Linked DNA regions of Caenorhabditis elegans. The protein of the gene in region 2 interacts with the protein of the main gene of each other region in a pairwise test. Each region holds a gene or a part of one and is shown on either strand. Other genes may lie near its edges.

Region 1 (4,891 bases), on a different chromosome or scaffold from region 2:
CCATTGTTTTCATTACCAGCGGAACAGTATATAAGTGCGTGGGGGCAACTCGGTGTTCGAAATGTTATTTTTCGCCGGTATTCTCTCAATTTCTCTTTTCGTCATTCCATCTTTATCGAGAGAGATCAAAATCTACAACAAGTGTCCATTCACAACATGGGCTGGAATTCTAGGACCGGGAAATCCTGAAGGAGGAGGATTTCGATTGAATGCAGGTGAAGCAAGAAGTATTTATGTTGATGACGGATGGAAATCTGCGAGAATTTGGCCGAGAACTGATTGTGATGGGAATATGAATTGTGCAACAGGCAATTGTGGGGTAAATATTGGGAACTCCGAAATTTTCAAAATTCATAGATGCAAAAATATGTTCATTTTTTCAATAAATTCCATATTTTTCTCGAAGATGCTCAGAAATATAGATTAAACAATAGTTGATTACCAAAACTTTACAGTACTCAGAAGTTGCCAATGGGGAACACATTTTTTAAATAGTATTTGACGAAAATTGATAGAAACAAATGTTTTAAAGTTAAACTAACTATGTATTTTGCAAATTGGAATTTGTGGGGCCTTCTTAGTTTTAAGGTAAAAAATTTACATTTTGAGTGCAAAATATTTACTGTTTCAAAAACAATTAAAAATCTTTGTTTTTTCCACCAATTTCGATCTTGCAATCTTTTTGATTCTAAATAATGTGTTTCGCTCAAGATCTGGGAGTAAAAATTTTACGCCAACTAAATTTATTCGAATAGGCATAGGCAGGCACATAGAAGTTGAGACCTAAGCAACATAATGTTTTCTTGATGATTCCAGAAAGTCATATTTTTAAAAATTGTGCAAAATCTTCGACGAAAAACGATGTGGGCGTTATAATGATACCTAAATTTTTCACATCCTAATTTTTTTTAATAATTATTCGTATTTGAACATTAGTGGAACTCCAAATTTCTCAAAAATAAAAACAGGTAAAATATTGTATTAAACGATTTTGAAGAACAGACTTGCAAAATTAACAACTTCATGAAACAGTGTATAATTGAAATAAACAACCTTCAGCGGCGGGAGCAATGCAACGGCGCTGGTGGAGAGCCTCCGGCAAGTCTCGCCGAATTTACTCTCCGTGGAGCTGATGGAAAAGATTTTTATGATGTTTCGCTTGTTGATGGATATAATATTCCAGTTCTTATTGATCCTTATGGTGGTGAGGGTGATTGTAGAAGAGCAGGAGGATGTTTCAAAAATATCAATGATTTCTGTCCAGGCGATCTTGCAGTGAGAAAAGGTAAGTGGCGGTGGGGTTGAGAATTTTTAATTTTCCGTTAAAAAAACTTCAAAAAAATAAATAACCTGTTTAATTTTTATTTAAAGTCATTTTTGCTTTAATCACGGAATGGATAATACTTTTACTTTGAAAAAGTTCAGAAATAATCACATATTGAAACAGAACAAATTTTTAAAAACTAAAATTTCTCCAACTGTTTCAATTTCAGATGGTCGTACCGTTGGCTGTAAATCTGGTTGTGTTGCTTACAACAACGATCAGGAATGCTGCCGTGGAGCATTTGGAACTCCTGACAAATGTAGACAAAGCAGAACTGCAATGCTTTTCAAAGATGCTTGTCCAACTGCATATTCTTATGCTTATGATGATGCTACTTCCACTTTTACTTGTAAAAATGCAAATTATGTAGTTCAATTTTGTTAATTGAGTGGGCTTAAATTTCTGGATAAATGTTCTGGGTTTTTTTAAAGCATTTTCAGAAAATTTCTGCAGAATTTCGCAGCCTGATTTTATTTTTGAAGCGTGCTTTTAACTGAACATAATAATTAATTTTTAAATCTTATTGGAATGAAAATTAATAAATGAATCACAAAACAGGTTAAATTTAAATTTATCGACAACAAAATCAAATATAAAAGGACAAAAGAAAGAAATTTTAATGATATCAAACATAGAAAACATGGGGAATCATTGATATTCACAGGAAGAATAAATAATTAACTATCAAAGGGGAGCAATCATGAAAAGAACAAAAAAGAGTAAATTATTTGAAATGGCTATTCGAGTAGTTAATGGGGGTTTCTATTTTCATCAAAATATACATTTTCTGGGGAAAATGATTGGAAAGTTGGATTGAAGTAATAAGAGTAATCCATTGGAGAGTATGGATATGGGATAGATGAGTCAAATGGAGAATATGGATGGAACGGATATTGATACTGGTTTTGGGATGAATAGAGTGGAGAAGAAGGAATATACTCAGTTAGATTACTCTCGTTTTGATTCACAAGATATTGAGACGTTTTCACTTCTAGAGTAACTTCAGAATTATCCACAACATCCTTCTTTACAGGCTTCTTCGATGACCTTTTTGATGGTAGTTGTCCAGCTGCATCAGAAGTTTTTCTTTTTATTCCACCTTCTGACCTATTTCCAAAAGTTGAATGCTTGTTCAAATCAGACTTCCATCTTCCCATGGAAGCTTGCTGATAAATTGAAACTGGGAAGAATTGAGCAATTTCCATTTTAAAGATATTTGAGGCAATTTCTCCGGTTGTTAGGTTCCTGATTGTAAGCACAGGCACGTACTTGTGCATTGTGTGAACATAGAACTGAAATAAATAGTTTTTCAATAAATTGATTAAAGCAATAAAAATAGAAACTAACCACATTCTCCTTTTCTGATAATTTCTCACTTGTTGTAATCCTCACTGAAGTGAATTCAACTGTTTCAGCCATCAATTCTTTTCCAAGTTTTGTTCCTTCTGGATGAAAGAAAAACTTCATATTATGATGTGGTTTTGGTTTACGAGCAGACGATGGAGCCCATTCTTTGTTTTCATTTATTCCATATCTGAAATAATTAGGAATTTATTTAATTTTTGTAAAATAATCAAAATTACCTGATATTATCCATCTTTTCAAGTGACAGTACCAATACATATCTTGAATTTTCTTCCAATCCAGAGATTTTGAATTTGATTTCAGGGAAAATTGGAGTAATTCTTTTACTGTTTGAAATCATTTCCATATTTGGATATCTTTCTTTCCATAGTTCTTCATTTGACATTTTCACAACGATTTGAGTTGATGGATTCATCGCAGAGACCTTTATCTGAAATTAAAAACGAATAGAAAAATTAAAAAATATATATAAAAGCAAAAAGAAAGAAAAAAATGAACTGTATTCTAACCGGAATGTTGTAATGAATGATTTTCTGCCTCCATGCTCATCTTGTTTCAGAGCACACACAGCAGGCGGAGTCTGAGCACGGAGGCGGGGTCCATCCAATTATCGATTTCCTGAGAGCTAACATATTCTCAAAGACGTCAATAAATAACAAATATATTAACGATAAGAAATTAAAGGTTATAGTAACAAGAGATTGAGAATTGAAACAATTTTTCGAAATTAAGGTTTACCGGAAAAAAATTGGGTTAGTACAATACCAAATACGATACATTTATATTTTTATAAAAATACAGTTCGAACAGGAAACAAGACGACGACTAGCATGTGAGTGATATGTTTTTTTTTACAAAATTAGTGGGTATTTATTGAGTTAAAATGAAAGTCTTATTGAACTGACTTCAAAATTGTTTGATAGAATCTTTTTAAAATTGTACTGTTTCATTCATTTATTTAAAGCAGTGGATAGGATGAGCCAATTGGTATTTTCTTATGAAAACTTCGGCATCATATACATTGCAAATTATAGACGAAGACGTTTCATTGTCAAAACAAATTAGTTTGGTGTTAATTTTGGGCTCTTTGGAATTTTCAGAAACTGTGAAACGTATAAATTAGGAAATATTTTTTCTCAGTTGAACAGTAAGCGCAAACAAGGCATTTTTTAAATAACGTGGCTAATATTTTTAAAAGATATAGTAAAAAAAGAAACACTGACCTAAACTTTTAGCCCAGAAAGTCAAACAAATCGTTATCAAATTGATATTAATCTGAAATAACTCAATACAAATTTGGTATACAATCAAAGCACAAGATTTTTCCTACTTTGTTTTTAAAAACAAAATGAAACATGTGAACATATATGATATTGAACTAATAATTTTCTTGAAGAAACTCAAAAAACCCTGAAAGGTTAAGCTTTTTTTTAACTCAATGTCGGTAAACTGGTTACATTAGGTTATTTTTTCCTCTCAAATTCAAAGAAGAAATTGCAAGTTTGAAAATGAAATGCTACTTTAAGTTTTAATTTCTAATATTTTCCACAAAAAATCCTCGGTCTTGTATTTTAATCTCCTGTTTTTATATTGACCCTTATTCATTTCCCATTGTCTGTCAATATAGTTGTCATTCCAATGATGACAATATCAGTTCAGCCTAAAAAATGAAAAATAACTAAAAGGAGGATAATTTATTGTTGCTTCCGTGATCAATATAATATTCCATTTCACATCTTTAACATACACAGAGGCTGAAAATCCTGACAAAATGTATTCCACCCAATTTTTATATAAATTAATTCCTTATTATTACCGAAAGCACCTATTGTCATCATTGGAATGACAACTATATTGACAGACAATGGGAAATGAATAAGGGTCAATATAAAAACAGGAGATTAAAATACAAGACCGAGGATTTTTTGTGGAAAATATTAGAAATTAAAACTTAAAGTAGCATTTCATTTTCAAACTTGCAATTTCTTCTTTGAATTTGAGAGGAAAAAATAACCTAATGTAACCAGTTTACCGACATTGAGTTAAAAAAAAGCTTAACCTTTCAGGGTTTTTTGAGTTTCTTCAAGAAAATTATTAGTTCAATATCATATATGTTCACATGTTTCATTTTGTTTTTAAAAACAAAGTAGGAAAAATCTTGTGCTTTGATTGTATACCAAATTTGTATTGAGTTATTTCAGA
Region 2 (7,873 bases):
AAACTATCTACGAAAGTGCCGGCGTACAATGATGATCTCATTATTTTTTCGCAATTTTATTTAGTTTTTTGATGCGAAAATATGCAGAACTTTATAAATCAATAAATTTGAAAAAAAACAATAATTTTAGAAATCAAATTAATAAGTTCGGTAAAAATCAGCAGATTTTGAAAAAATCAATAAATTTTGAAAACCGATAATTTTAAATCAATAATTTTAGACAAAAAATCGACACATTAAAAAAACTATAGATGAGCAAAATCAAAAAGTTTGGAAAATTCGATAAATTTGGAAAAAAATCGATAAGTTCGATAAAAATCCGCAGATTTTTGAAAAATCGATAATATTAGACAAAAAAATCAATAAATTTTGTAAAAATCGATAAATTTGGAAAATATCCACATTTTTAGAAGAAAAAAAATTTGATTAAGTCGGCAAAACAAATAAGCAATTTTTTGCTGTCTAGAAAAAATTTCCAACCGTAAAAAATAATTCCAGAAACCCGCTGATAATAACCCCGGCTGTAGTAATTCGCATACCGCTCTGGAAGTCGAAGTTACTGGAATCACTGCCACGTTTCTTGCGGAACAAACTTTCCAGAACATCCAGCGAGGTCCGACCTTTAGACTATACCGCTCGGCGTACCGTTGCCGACGAGTCGAACACTTACTGGACACAATTTTCGAGCTCTTGGTGATTGATTTTTTACGTGAAAAATTTTGAACAAAATATTTTTTAGATTTTTTTTTTCAAATTTTTTGAAATTCTAAATAAAAAATAATAGAACACGTGATTTTATTATTTGATCAATTTCCTGGTTTCATAATCAAAAAATAATTTATTCCTAATTTTACAAAGTTACAAAATCGGCGCAAATTTCTTGATTCAAAAATCGATATGGCTCCGCGTAAGAAGGTGAATGAAATGGTGATTCGGAAGACGGCGAATTTGACGGACAAAATGCGAAAGGAGCGGACAGTTGAGGAGTTTGAGGAGGTTAAAACCGCTGTGAGTTTTTTTTCTTTTTTTTTAATTTTCTAAAAATTTTAGCCATTTTCAGCAATCCAAATCCTACGAATCCGACACTTCATCGGCCGAATCGTTGCGTCAAAAACGAACAGCTCCCTCCGCGATTCGTACCGTGCAAATTCAAAAAGAAATCGTTCTTCCTTACGATGGAAATCTAGTCTCCGTCTATGAGAAGTCGAGCAACACCCGCTCTTTGGACACGATTTCAGAGCCAGGCGATCTTGAGGAGTTCAAGAAGAAGGCTGAGGTAGGTATAAACTAAAATTGCCTACCTGCCTACCATCAGTCGATAGCCCAACTTTTTTTTTTCAGGAATCCAAGTACGTTGGTCCTCAGATTGTCCCAATGAAATTCGTGACAACTGACGTGGAGACGCCGGTTAAGGCGATTTTTGTTTCGGATTTCGACTTCTGCCAGGCAATGCATCACCCGCCACAAAGCTCGACCCAAAGCAAGAAAGTGGAATTTTCCAAGCGGTTCGAGGTGGAGCAGAAGTTTCTGGAGGAAATGGTGGCGGATATCGAGAAGCTCATAGTGTCCAGTGGAAGAATGGATGTGGAGCTGAAAGTTGTCAAGGCTAGAGAGGTCGCGAAAATTCATTGCAAATTTTTCAAATGTTTCAAACTCATATTTCAAATTTTCAGGAAAACGATAGTCCACGTGCAAAAATCAGCCTGGTCCGGAAAATTCACGCGGAAAAAGTCGATGACAATCTCAACAATCAAGCCGGGCTTGTTGGCTTCATCCTGCCTGATTTGGAAATGAAGGACCACGGGATTCCGTTGAAAATCACCAAAAACCAGCAAGTTCCGTCGGGCCAGAAAATGTTCGAATCGTTTAAACGTCTTTTTGGATATTGATTTGATTATGAGCATGATAAAGATTTTCTGATTTTTTTTTCAGAACTATTATATTTTATTTTAATTGTTTTGTTCTTTTTTCAGAAATTAGAAATTCAGGAGTAAAACACATTTCATTTAATGATATTAAAACCAAAAACTTTGGAAAAACAGGTTCAAATAAATTATTTTCGATTAAGCGGACTTGAGATCTTCAATCTTCTGCAGCACAAGCTTCACAGGTTTAGTTGCTCGTTCTTCAAATTTGACAAGAATATTCTTCACATCGAATCGTTCGAATTGATCCAGCGAGACGTCCTGTGACAGGAAGAAGTTGCAAATTGGGTCGACCTGAAGACAAAAAGCTTTATTTAAACATTTTGCAAGCTTCCAAAACTTACAAAATAGTCCTTCCAATCCTCATCACCCAAGTACCTATCACCTTTGAAATATCCCATCAAAAGCGTCATCACACTATCGGGCACAAGCCCGAGCTCCGAGTTCTCGCGTAAGTATCTTTCCAGAGCTTCCAAATTCTCCCATTGCATACCGACTTCTTCCATCTCTTCGATAAAGTCGATCAGGTGCTTGCAATCTTCCTGTTCTGGGCAGTAGAGGTGACACGAAAGAGCAATGTCGTATTTTCGGTAGAATTCCAGCGGCAGCTCGTCTGTACCGACAAATTCTATGGCGGTGGATATCTGGAAATTTTTCAATGTTTTTTGGAGAAGTTGACGGAGGTTTTGGAGTTTTAAAAGTATATTCTCGGATTTTCTTAATTATGGATTAATTAAGCCGAAGCCCTAAACCTAAGCTTAAGCATATGACTAATCGTAAGCCTATGCTTAAGCCTAAGCGGAAACCTACGCTAAGTCTAAGACAGGCCCTAAGCCTTAGCCCAAGCCTACGCATAAGCCTAATCATACGTTTAATCAGAAGCCACATCATAAGCCTTATTCTAAGCCTTATTTTAAGCCTACACATAAGACTAAACCTAACATTTGTAAGGTTAAGCCTAAGCCTAAGCTCAAGCTTAAGCCTAAGCTCAAGCTTAAGCCAAAGCCTAAGCCTAAGTCTAATCCTTAACCTGAGCCTAAATTTTTTTAAGCTTCAATACCTTCAAACTGAAGTGGGCCCAAATTTCATAATTATTAAAATTTCAGTTAATCGCCAATTTTTTGTAGAATTTCGGCGAGAAGTCTTCAATAGTTTTTGAAAAATCTCTGAAGGTTCTGAAAAAAAATATCTATCAAAAACCCCTACCATTTCCTCATTTCCTGCTTTAATGCACTGAGCCAAAAATATCATCTCGATTTCCATCCTATTATGTGTAAAATCTCCGTGTATAGGTGGATACCTTCTGTCCAAACTTGGAGCAACTTCAGTCTCCTCCGATTCCTCCTCGACTTCAGACTCTACCTCATCTTTCAGACGTTGATATTTTCGCACCAGCCATGCGGCTTCTTGAATTTGATGCTCAAAAACTTTGGCTCTTTCCAGAATTCCATACTTCTCAAAATCCTCAACCAACAGGTCAAGCCTGCTCAGAATGGAAAATGAGCATTTCACAAAGTCCAGGTCGGTGAAGAAGGAGACGGCGGTGAGCAGCTTCAGCGTGTGCACCGAGACTATTCCGTCGGGGTACTCCTCGAAAGTACTGTCAGCAAACCGTTTCAACATCCAAGGCTTTTCGTGTTCGATTTTTTGGAGTTTAAAGTTTTGATAGTTGGAGGCCATGGAGAGTGCTAGCTGGTTGTTTGGAGCATGTCGCTGCACAATGTATGGGAAGTTGTGTTGCTCCAGGATATCCATAGGTACAGTGCCAAATTTCAGCTGTGAGAAGGCTTTGGTTATCTGGAAATTATGGGACGATTAAGGAAATTATGGGACGATTTTCTGAATTTCATTTTAAAAAATTCACGCTGCTTGCAAAAAATCTGGTTTTCTAGAAACTTTTTCAAACTTTTTCCAGATTTTCACTTAACTTTTGAACTTTGAGGTTTCAATAGTTGAGTGAAAAAAACAATTTTTAACCCACAAAATATCATGTCAAATTTCAAATGAATGTTCGTTCAAAAAATGAGTTCTTGGTTGAATTCAAAAATCCGCCCAAAAAATTCTAAAAAATACTTTCCTTACAATTTCAGTTTTTAAAATGTTTTTTTTTAAATTTATTTTTCCAAACATCAATATTTTGAGTTTTTTAATAAACGTTTCTAATTAAAAAATACATATAAAAGCTTTGAAAATTTGTAGATTTTTTTAAATTTTAGGTGGCTTGCAAAAAAAAATTCCACACATGGCAATGTTTTTTTGAACAACTTTTCTTTGTAACTTTTTCAAATTGCATTCAAAAAATTTCAAAAAAAAAAGTTGTTCATTGAAGCATTGAGAATCTTTTTATTCCAAGACTAAAAAATTCAAAGCTTAATTTTTTTTAAATAAAATTTTCAGTTCAAAAATTCGCCAAAAACTTGTTTTTTTTCTATTTTCCAAACACCAACCAGTTGTATGAAAGATTAATTTTAAATTTTTTTTTTTTAAAACTTACCAATTTATCGTCTCCAGTCCTGATGGTTCTCGCGAGAATATGAGCCGTATATTCTGTGTCGTTCATTTTCCACCGAGAAGATTGCAGAGAGTGAGACAGAAAAATAGAGGAATTACACCGAATACACGCCATTGAGACTAACTTGGTACATTGAGAGAGACTCCACCCAGTTTTTTACAAGCGCAGGCGGGAAGAGGGTATGTACCAAGTTGCGGGTAAGTACATTTTATGGCTGTTGGGGGTGCTAACTTGGCAGATGGACGGAGAAAAAACAGGAGGGAATATTTCAAAAATTTATGAAAAATATTTTTTCGGAGCCTAAAAATTTTTAAACAATTCCAAAAAAAACACAATTATAAAACCTCAGCTATGACAACAAATTTCAGTTCCACGAGCTTCTCAATTGCTGGAAATACACTTCAGATTCCAAAACAACTGATCTCCTAGACTCCGAAATCCCAATTCTCGATGTCCCACTAATATGTTTCCCCAATACCGGCAACTTTTGCATGAACTCGTGTCGCCAAGCCACCGAGCAACATAAAAGAGCAACTGCCATTACTAAGGCTGGTCTGAAATTTTTTTTTTTTAATTAATTTTGTTGAAAAATTATGGTGAATCGACTCACAATAAGATGAGATTCTCTAGTATGTGAACGAAGAACACTTGAAGTCTTTCGAAGAATCCGAGCATGAGGCAGGTGAACACGAGGAGAGTTAGGGAAATGTGCACGGAGCCCACGAGAACTGTGTACTTGGCGAGCTGGAAGAGAGAAGTTCGTTGGCCTAACTTTTCGCTGGCCAAGGTTTTTCTAAACGAAAGCTGATGGGATGGCCTAACTTTTGTAAAGTTAAAAATTTGGCCGAGACAAAAATAGCATGACTTTATGAATTTTTGACTTTTCTAGGACTTTGGGTACACAATTGATGGCCTAACTTTTGCTAGACAACATCCTCGGTCTTGCTTTCGCTGGCCTAACTTTTCCTCACCTTCAAGCTTCGAATATTCTCCTCAACTTGAAACTTTCTCGCCAATGAATATTTTTCATGGTCGGTTATATTCTTCCGCATCTGATTTCGGAACACGAAATTGATTCGAAGAATTGTAGCGTAGGCTGACGTGGATAACACAATGCAAACCGCCCATTGACCATAAACTACGAGGAATGGTATCCGGTTATGGATCACAAAATAGACATATGGAATTGTAATAATATTAACTAGTATGATAAGGATTACTGGGATATGGCGACGGCGTACGTGCTCGTAGTCGCTGGAAAATATACAATTGAACGTTCCTGTATCTGGCGCCAAATTGGAAATTTTAAAATGTTAAAATACTTTGGAGCATAACTTAAAATTTATTTCATCAAAAAAATTAAATTTGGTCTAATTTTTTTCAGAGATTAAGATTTTAAGACTAATTTTCAAATTTGAATTTTCAAAAAACTCACTGAATATAAAACGTCGCACATGCTCTTTCCACACCAATAGCCATAATTCCAAAAAACATGGAAAACATATAATGTCTGTAAACATAGCATGCTATGTACAATACCCTTATATCATCAGTGCTCTCCACCAAAACCATATCATTTCGTCCGCTGCTCCACCAGGAAAAATATGATTTTCCGGGTGAATTTCCGATTTGAATTAAGCCAATTTGATAGGGAAGTATAAGAATTTTGGCGAGAATCGCCTCAAACCATTGGCACAAAAAGAACGCCATTAAAATGTTCTTGTTCTCGTGGAAAAGTCGAATTTTTGTGATGATTTTGCAAGTTCTTACAATAATATATGCCGTGGAGCAGTAAATGAGAATTTGGATTGCTGCGAAAAAAGGGTAAATTGGGGACTCGTAAACTCTGTCGTTTAAAGAGAAAACTGGAATCCATAGAGTTTCTGTAGAGTTTAAAAATGCTATGATCATATTATATGTTCTCTGAAAAATAACAAAAAATTGTGAAGAGTGATGAGCTTGAAGCAAACGAAAAAAGAAATGAGTGAAACTTGCAAGCAGATGTTTGTGCTTGAGAAATGCGTCAGCAATTTTTTTAAAAATGAAAAATGAATTTCCTAATGAGACTAGAAATATTTTCATGTGTATTTTGTATTCAATATTTTTTGTTAACTGATTAGGCTTTTAGGTGGGAAATAAGGAAATTGAAAAGCGGTTTTCAGAAATTTGAAACAATAACTCAAAAACGCTACACCATCTTAAAATTTATTCCAAATATTTATTGGTAACCGAGCAGAATCAATAATATGGCAAAACCGGATCTACATACTAAGTTCAGATAAACATTTAAAATTAATTGGAAATATTTCACCTGCTCGGTTAAAAATTGGCCTTGGGAAACTAATATTGTACTGCTCATTGGTTTTATATTTTTGAAATGGACATGTTTTTTGAATCACTTGTTGTTCTTTGAAATTATATGCCATTGATAAAGTAGATAAATCAAGCGTGAGAGCTGATGAGCTCGAGAGATCAAGGATTTATTTTTGAGGCATGAGGAAGAGGGTGGAATTTCCAAGAAGATCAATTTCACCTGTTCGAAGGAAACCAGTATTCATGGAAAGTAAATATATTTGTTTCCGAAAAATGTAAAATTCAACTTTTTTAGGATCCAGAACCTCATATTTGCTTAAAATCGTAATGAAATCAAAAATCCTCCTGTTCAGAAAAAAGAATGTAAGTACCGTTTAAGTTCCAGGCGCAGTTTTAGGGCCTGGTGCCTTGTGCCGTTCATTCCACATATTTCGATAGTTGAATCTTTCGTAGCAGCCGACACTTTTTGAGTTCCACGCCGCACCTTACAGAAGGCACGGGAGTGGCGTAAGGCAGGCAAGCGCGGTAGTTGCTTTGGCCCTGCTAGTTTATATTCTCAACATAATGAGCAACATTAGCATGTCTAAATGTAGGCAAGTAGGTAGGCACGTAGGCACCTGGTGTCAGGCTATCCTATTATGGTTTGATCTACAAAAAATGCGGGATTTTTTTGCCCAAAAACATGCGATGTCAGCACGTTCTTAACCAAGCGAAATCAGTTGAGAACTCCGCGCGTCTGTTTTCCCGCATTTTTTGTAGATCTACGTAGACCAAACCGAAATGGGACACTCTGACACAATGTGCGTAGGAATTCTGTTATTTCGTTAATAAACTATTTGAACTGCTCGACAAAAATAATCTGTAATGTAATAATAATCAAAAAAGTTCGCCCCTCTAACTCAATAACCAAAAAGTGACTTTTCCAGGAAAACCCCCCCTTTCCCTTCCCCCTTCCAATATCCAGCTGCTTTTTGTTGATGTATGAGGTAGTTTCCTTATTTCATTTTCAATGATTGTAGCATATCAGAACTATTCAAAACTCCTCTGGCTCCCGGTCTACTCTCTAAATGATAAGCATCACAACTCTATCGGTTTCCAAATCACCGCAATTTCCCAATTCCTT
Region 3 (5,320 bases), on a different chromosome or scaffold from region 2:
TATGCTCAGCAATTTCCAGCTCCATTTGATGAAAAGCAAAATCAATTCTATCCAAAAACTGATGAAAATCTGGCGCCAAACTGTGCTCAAGATGCTTCAAGTTTGCCAAACTTTGCGATGAATCAAAAGGCTTCTTTTGCAAATCAATATCCATATCATCCATATTACCATCAATATTCTCAGCTTGATCATGGATCTCCATATCAGTACATGAATAACTCCATCAATTCCGACTCCTCTTTCCAGTCATCATTTTCTACTGAAAATTCGTATTTTGATGACAATGGAAACCCAATTCATTATCCCTATTATCCTTACAAATAATTTGTATCTTCATTTCTGTATGAGTACCTCCTTATCATGTTTTCCAGTGAGTTTCACGGTTTTTTTTTCCATATTTCCCCTCTAAAAACCAACTAACACTTTCCTGTGAATACATTAGACTTTTTTTTTCAATTTTTACTTATACTGTTTTATGTGGTTCTCAATTTCTGATCTATTTTCTTTATTTTCAATTTTTACGTATCTGATTTCCATTTCTATTAATAAAGTTGAACACTTTTATTTTGCAAAAATTGCTAAAAATGCTAAAATTAATATTTACGCACTCTGTTTTTACCAGGAAAAAAATTCGACAAAATAATCGACAGTAAGTTTTCATTTTGACCAATTACTTAAAACTCGAAACAGTAGTGTTCTCCAAATTTACGTTCATTTTCAGAATATCGAGTATTTTCAATTTCAAAATTATGTTCCCCACAACAAAACGTACTTTTTGAAATTATTTGTAGAAATATACAAACATTCTCGAGCAGAAATTGTTTCCTCAATTATTTTTTCATGGTTTCAAAAAAATAAATAATTCTACGAAAGGAAGATTGAGGTTTTCTAATTCTAAAAGTTGGTTGACTCTCTGGCGGAACATTTGTCTGCTTCAAGTTGTTGATATATTTTCATATAGTTTGAGTACAATTTGATATTTACTCACTGGAAAATTGACTCATAAAGAACTGAGAATGAAACAGTAAAATAAGTCAGAAAAAAATTACAAAATAAAACAAAATGAAAGAAGGCAAGAAACTCACAGGAAACTTTGAATTTTTATTATTATTTTTTATTATTTTTATTATCAACAGTAAGTTTTTATGCAATCCAATTATTTACAACTTGATACAGTTTTTTTTTAATACAATTTTTTAAATAACCAGAATAGTTTCAATTTCAAAAAATAATATTCTCCACAAAAAAAATAATTTAGCAGCAAAAAAAGTTTATATTTTTCATTGTTCAAAAAATAAACTTTGAAAGTGAGGGAATTTAATGTTCAAGTACCAAAAAATAAATAAATCAACGACAGGAAAAGTCGTCTGCTTTACATAGTTGGTATATTTCCTGTTTTTTTTTGTAAAGTTACGTATCTGCGGCCCACAATATAATCGAAAAATTTGAAAAATTTCAAATTTTAATATCCGAAATTCGGAATAATTTGACACGCAAAAATGATGTGCTTATGTTTCTATTCCACACTTGATTCATCAAAATTGAAACATTAAAATAAAAAAAAAAGCAAACTTTTTTGCTAAGCAGCTCCATAATAGGCTTTCCATCCGGGCGAGGTGTGTCGGGGGCGCCCTTCGCCCGCCTCTTTCCCGCGCCCCCCTCACGCCCGCCCTGACACCCGGTATGCAATTTGTCGTCGCGGTGTTTGCAGAAATGAAACAAATTGGACGCGCATTTAGAAAACTTTGCCATCACGTTATAATATTAAATTGTAATTTTGGCAATTATTTTTATTCAATAGTGGATTAATAGTGCAATGTTTAATTTTGAAAATGAATAATGTATGAATTTCTGAGCCCTTTTATCATAACGGTAAAGCAAGATTAGTGTTAAAAGTTTATTAAAAGAAAATTGATTTACAAATTATTGCGACTAGAAACAGAAAATTAGGTGAGAAATAATTTACAGAATTAAACAAAATGAGCTAAAGTCAATATGGACAGAGAAGTCAAAACAATCACAGGAAAATTTGAAAAAAATAGGAAACAAGGGTTAGTAATGAAGAAGTGACAATTAATTGCTAGAATAATATGGATAGTGGATAGGATTTCCATTTTCATCGAAATATGAATTTTCAGCAGAAAATGATGACTGGAAAGAGGAATCAGAATAAATAGAGTTATTCATGGAATAGTTGAGATGTGGAAACTGTTGGCTGGATTGAAAATATGGATAATAATAGGGATAGGAACCATATGGATATTGATTTGGAAATTGAGAGACTGGGTAATCTGGAGCATTCTGATGAATATTTTCCTTTTGATTGATCGCAAATTGTGGTACACTTGAAAGATACTGAACATTTTTTGCAACCCTATTTTGTTTAGTTTTCGGATCGAATTGATTGTGGATTTCATCAAATAGAGCTGTGAATTGCTGAACATAAATTGGTGGAGTATTGACTGTTGGATACGCATGTGGATATTGATTTTGATAGGAAGTTGATGGGAACTGGTGAATAGAGGAACTGATCTCATTTTGAAGCCTTCCAGAATTCGTGGACTCATTATAATTTTCTGATTGTGAGGCAACTTGAAGGATATCCGAAACAGCAATTTCTGTTTCATTTTTTGATCGTTTTGATGTTCGCTCTTCACTCGAATCAGTATTCTTTCTCTTGTTTCCCCCATCCAATCTATTTCCATATGTTGAGTTCTTGTGAAATTTAGATTTCCAATTTCCGATCGATTCTTGATTGTATACTGTGACTGGGAAAAATTGGGCTACTTCCATTCTCATAGAATGATTTGCAGATTCAACATTCGTGATATTTTTGACAGTGAGGACTGGAACATACTTGTGCATTGTTTCCACGAAAAACTGAAATAAAAATTAATTATAATATTATTTAGTGAATTAAAAATTCAAACTAACCACATTATCCTTGTCCATGAATTTTTTGTGATTCGTAATCCTGACTGTATCAAATTTAATAGTTTCCTTCATCAATTCCTTTCCAAGTTTTGTTCCATCTGGATGTAAGAAATATTTGATTTCTTGTTCTTTTTTCGTTGCATGACGGACTTTTGAAGGTCCCCATTTTCCATTTCGGTATCCATATCTGAAATTAAGATTTGTCTTTAATGGTGACTTTGAAAATCATTAAAAAATACCTGATATTGTCATATTTTTCAATTGAAAGAAGTACAACATATCTCGATTTCTCTTCCAATCCAGTAATATTGAAGTTGAGTTCGGGAAAAATTAGTTTCGGCCCTTTATTATTCACAATCATTTCCATATTTGGATACCATTGTTTCCATCGGTCTTCTTCAGCCATTGTAACATTGAATTGAGCTTGTGAAAACATTATTGAATCTGAATATTGAAAAAAAATCAACATATATTAATAGGAAGTATGAAAGAAAAAAAACGGTATACTAAACAAAATATTATAATGAATGATCCTCTCTATCCCTTTAATGTTTTAGACCCCACTTAGTGGGCGGAGCCTGAGCACTGGGTTGAGTCAACCAATTATCGATTGATTGTATTCACTTGCTCTCTTAGAATTGCTCAACAAAAACTGTTTGAAACTGGAAATCGTACTTTATATAGTGATGTCCTTTTAATCACTATATTGAAACAGTAACTTTTTGAGTGCTGCCGCATTTGATAAAAACGCCCGAGTTACTAATTTAAAATAAAAATACTAAAACCCGATCCAAAGCAAATTATTTAAGGATATCCACATTTAGACTTTTATTTTGTAGTGTCAATTTTCTGCGTGCTTCTCTATTCCAGATTACCTTTTCACATATTAATATTTCATGTCAAAGTTGTCTATTCCAAAACATTACGTTACAGTTCCACTGGTGACCTATATTCTTCCCAATTGTCATTCACATAATGACAATAGGTGCAAGGTATCCCCCACCTTAACATCCACCACTTTACAACTCTACTTCCTTCTCCTTGACATATCATTCCTTTTCGATCGATTTCCGGACACACACCTGACAATCCAAATGGTTGTAAACTTTATGTACTGGGAAAATATATTTAGTCTTTTGATAGATAATAAGCAGAAAAGTGAGAAAGTGTATACTTTTACAAAATTGAAAATATAGAAAATGATAGGTTTACATTTCATTGCAAACGTTATTTTAATAACAAAATTTCAGACAGAAAAGGATTTATTTGAAAAGTTTCTATTTTGGATGAAAATTCTACTCCGCTCTGCAAAACACTATGTCAGTATTAGTAAATATGTATTAGACATCACATTCTTAAAGAGAGAATTAATAAGCTGTAATTAAAAAAAAAATAAAAATTGCTGTTTCAACATTGTGATACATTTGCTGCATTAATGAGAGTAAGACAATTTGTTTGGTGGCCTTATTGATGTTAGTGAAATATGCCACATTTATTCTCGAAAATATGAATTAATTAATTAAAATCCCAACAGAAGTTACTTTTTTCTTGAATATTTTTCTATCGGTAAGAATATAGCTTCGGTTTACAATTTACTGAGATATATATGTACATAACTAAACTATTGAGCTGACAAATTCAAAAATATCCAAAAACAATCAAGGAATACAGGTTGAACGGATCATTGAGCATATTATGCATGTTGACATTAAAATTAAAATTGTAATACAAAAGTATTTACGGAGTGTTTTAAATTACTATAGTGAAACACGCAATATGTAGATAAACAATTTTGATAAAGTTAAAGACAGAATTTTTTTGAGTAGCCATTCTATTTAATTCCATGTGCATATAATTGTATTTTTTTCCGAAAAATTAACTAATGCTGAAATTAAAATTATGTTTCAATGTCCTGATAACTTTGTCACCATGTTTTGCAATTATTATGTTTTTCTCCCAACAATATTTTCTGATTGGAACTGGAATCAAAAAATCATTTTTAAAATTCATATTAATATCAACAACAAGTTATGCGTTTAGATTTACCAACGTTTAGAAACAGTAAAAATTATCAGAACTTTACAAAAATTCTTTTCGAGCAACTTCTTTATTCTAATCAAGTACTACTTCATTCATCACAATGGAATATTAATTGATAACAATTCCAGATTTAAGTCTCCATTTTCCTTCTTCTCCTTCACGCAATAGATAGAAATCAGCAATATTGGTTCTTGGCCCAACTACATGTGAAACATTGAACTTGATTTCATTTTTTCCTTGAGTAAAAATCGATGATTTGAGGATCAATGGCTCGGGATTCGGCTTGGTAAGGTAGCTTTCCACGAATAGAGCTGAAAAAATTAAACAATCATTAGAGTATTTAGTA

The links. The genes of interacting proteins can lie anywhere in the genome.
Region 1: the proteins of Y57A10B.6 (region 2) and tbx-42 interact in a two-hybrid assay, tested with the Caenorhabditis elegans proteins (one large-scale study listed by BioGRID).
Region 3: the proteins of Y57A10B.6 (region 2) and tbx-39 interact in a two-hybrid assay, tested with the Caenorhabditis elegans proteins (one large-scale study listed by BioGRID).

What each region holds. Positions count from the first base shown.
Region 1 is NC_003282.8:5,230,772-5,235,662, forward strand, and holds tbx-42 (Putative T-box protein 30/42), read right to left. Parts: upstream 3,105-4,891; coding exon 2,908-3,104; intron 2,859-2,907; coding exon 2,672-2,858; intron 2,617-2,671; coding exon 2,074-2,616; downstream 1-2,073. Other genes in the region: thn-5 (Pathogenesis-related protein 5-like), read left to right, coding at 62-319, 1,060-1,285, 1,494-1,708. UniProt on the Caenorhabditis elegans protein: Involved in the regulatory network to control embryonic patterning and morphogenesis. Implicated in negatively regulating vab-7 expression at the anterior of embryos.
Region 2 is NC_003280.10:12,386,768-12,394,640, reverse strand, and holds Y57A10B.6 (SEC-C motif-containing protein), read right to left. Parts: upstream 4,559-7,873; 5' UTR 4,486-4,558; coding exon 4,420-4,485; intron 3,723-4,419; coding exon 3,132-3,722; intron 2,570-3,131; coding exon 2,270-2,569; intron 2,220-2,269; coding exon 2,064-2,219; 3' UTR 1,979-2,063; downstream 1-1,978. Other genes in the region: Y57A10B.7 (Gag protease polyprotein), read left to right, coding at 898-1,008, 1,061-1,276, 1,342-1,614, 1,674-1,889; sre-41 (Serpentine Receptor, class E (Epsilon)), read right to left, coding at 4,802-4,991, 5,048-5,181, 5,409-5,691, 5,873-6,348; sre-42 (Serpentine Receptor, class E (Epsilon)), read left to right, coding at 7,760-7,873.
Region 3 is NC_003282.8:15,321,943-15,327,262, reverse strand, and holds tbx-39 (Putative T-box protein 39), read right to left. Parts: upstream 3,371-5,320; coding exon 3,174-3,370; intron 3,122-3,173; coding exon 2,935-3,121; intron 2,881-2,934; coding exon 2,074-2,880; downstream 1-2,073. Other genes in the region: tbx-40 (Putative T-box protein 40), read left to right, coding at 1-324; Y73F8A.15 (DUF38 domain-containing protein), read right to left, coding at 5,083-5,285.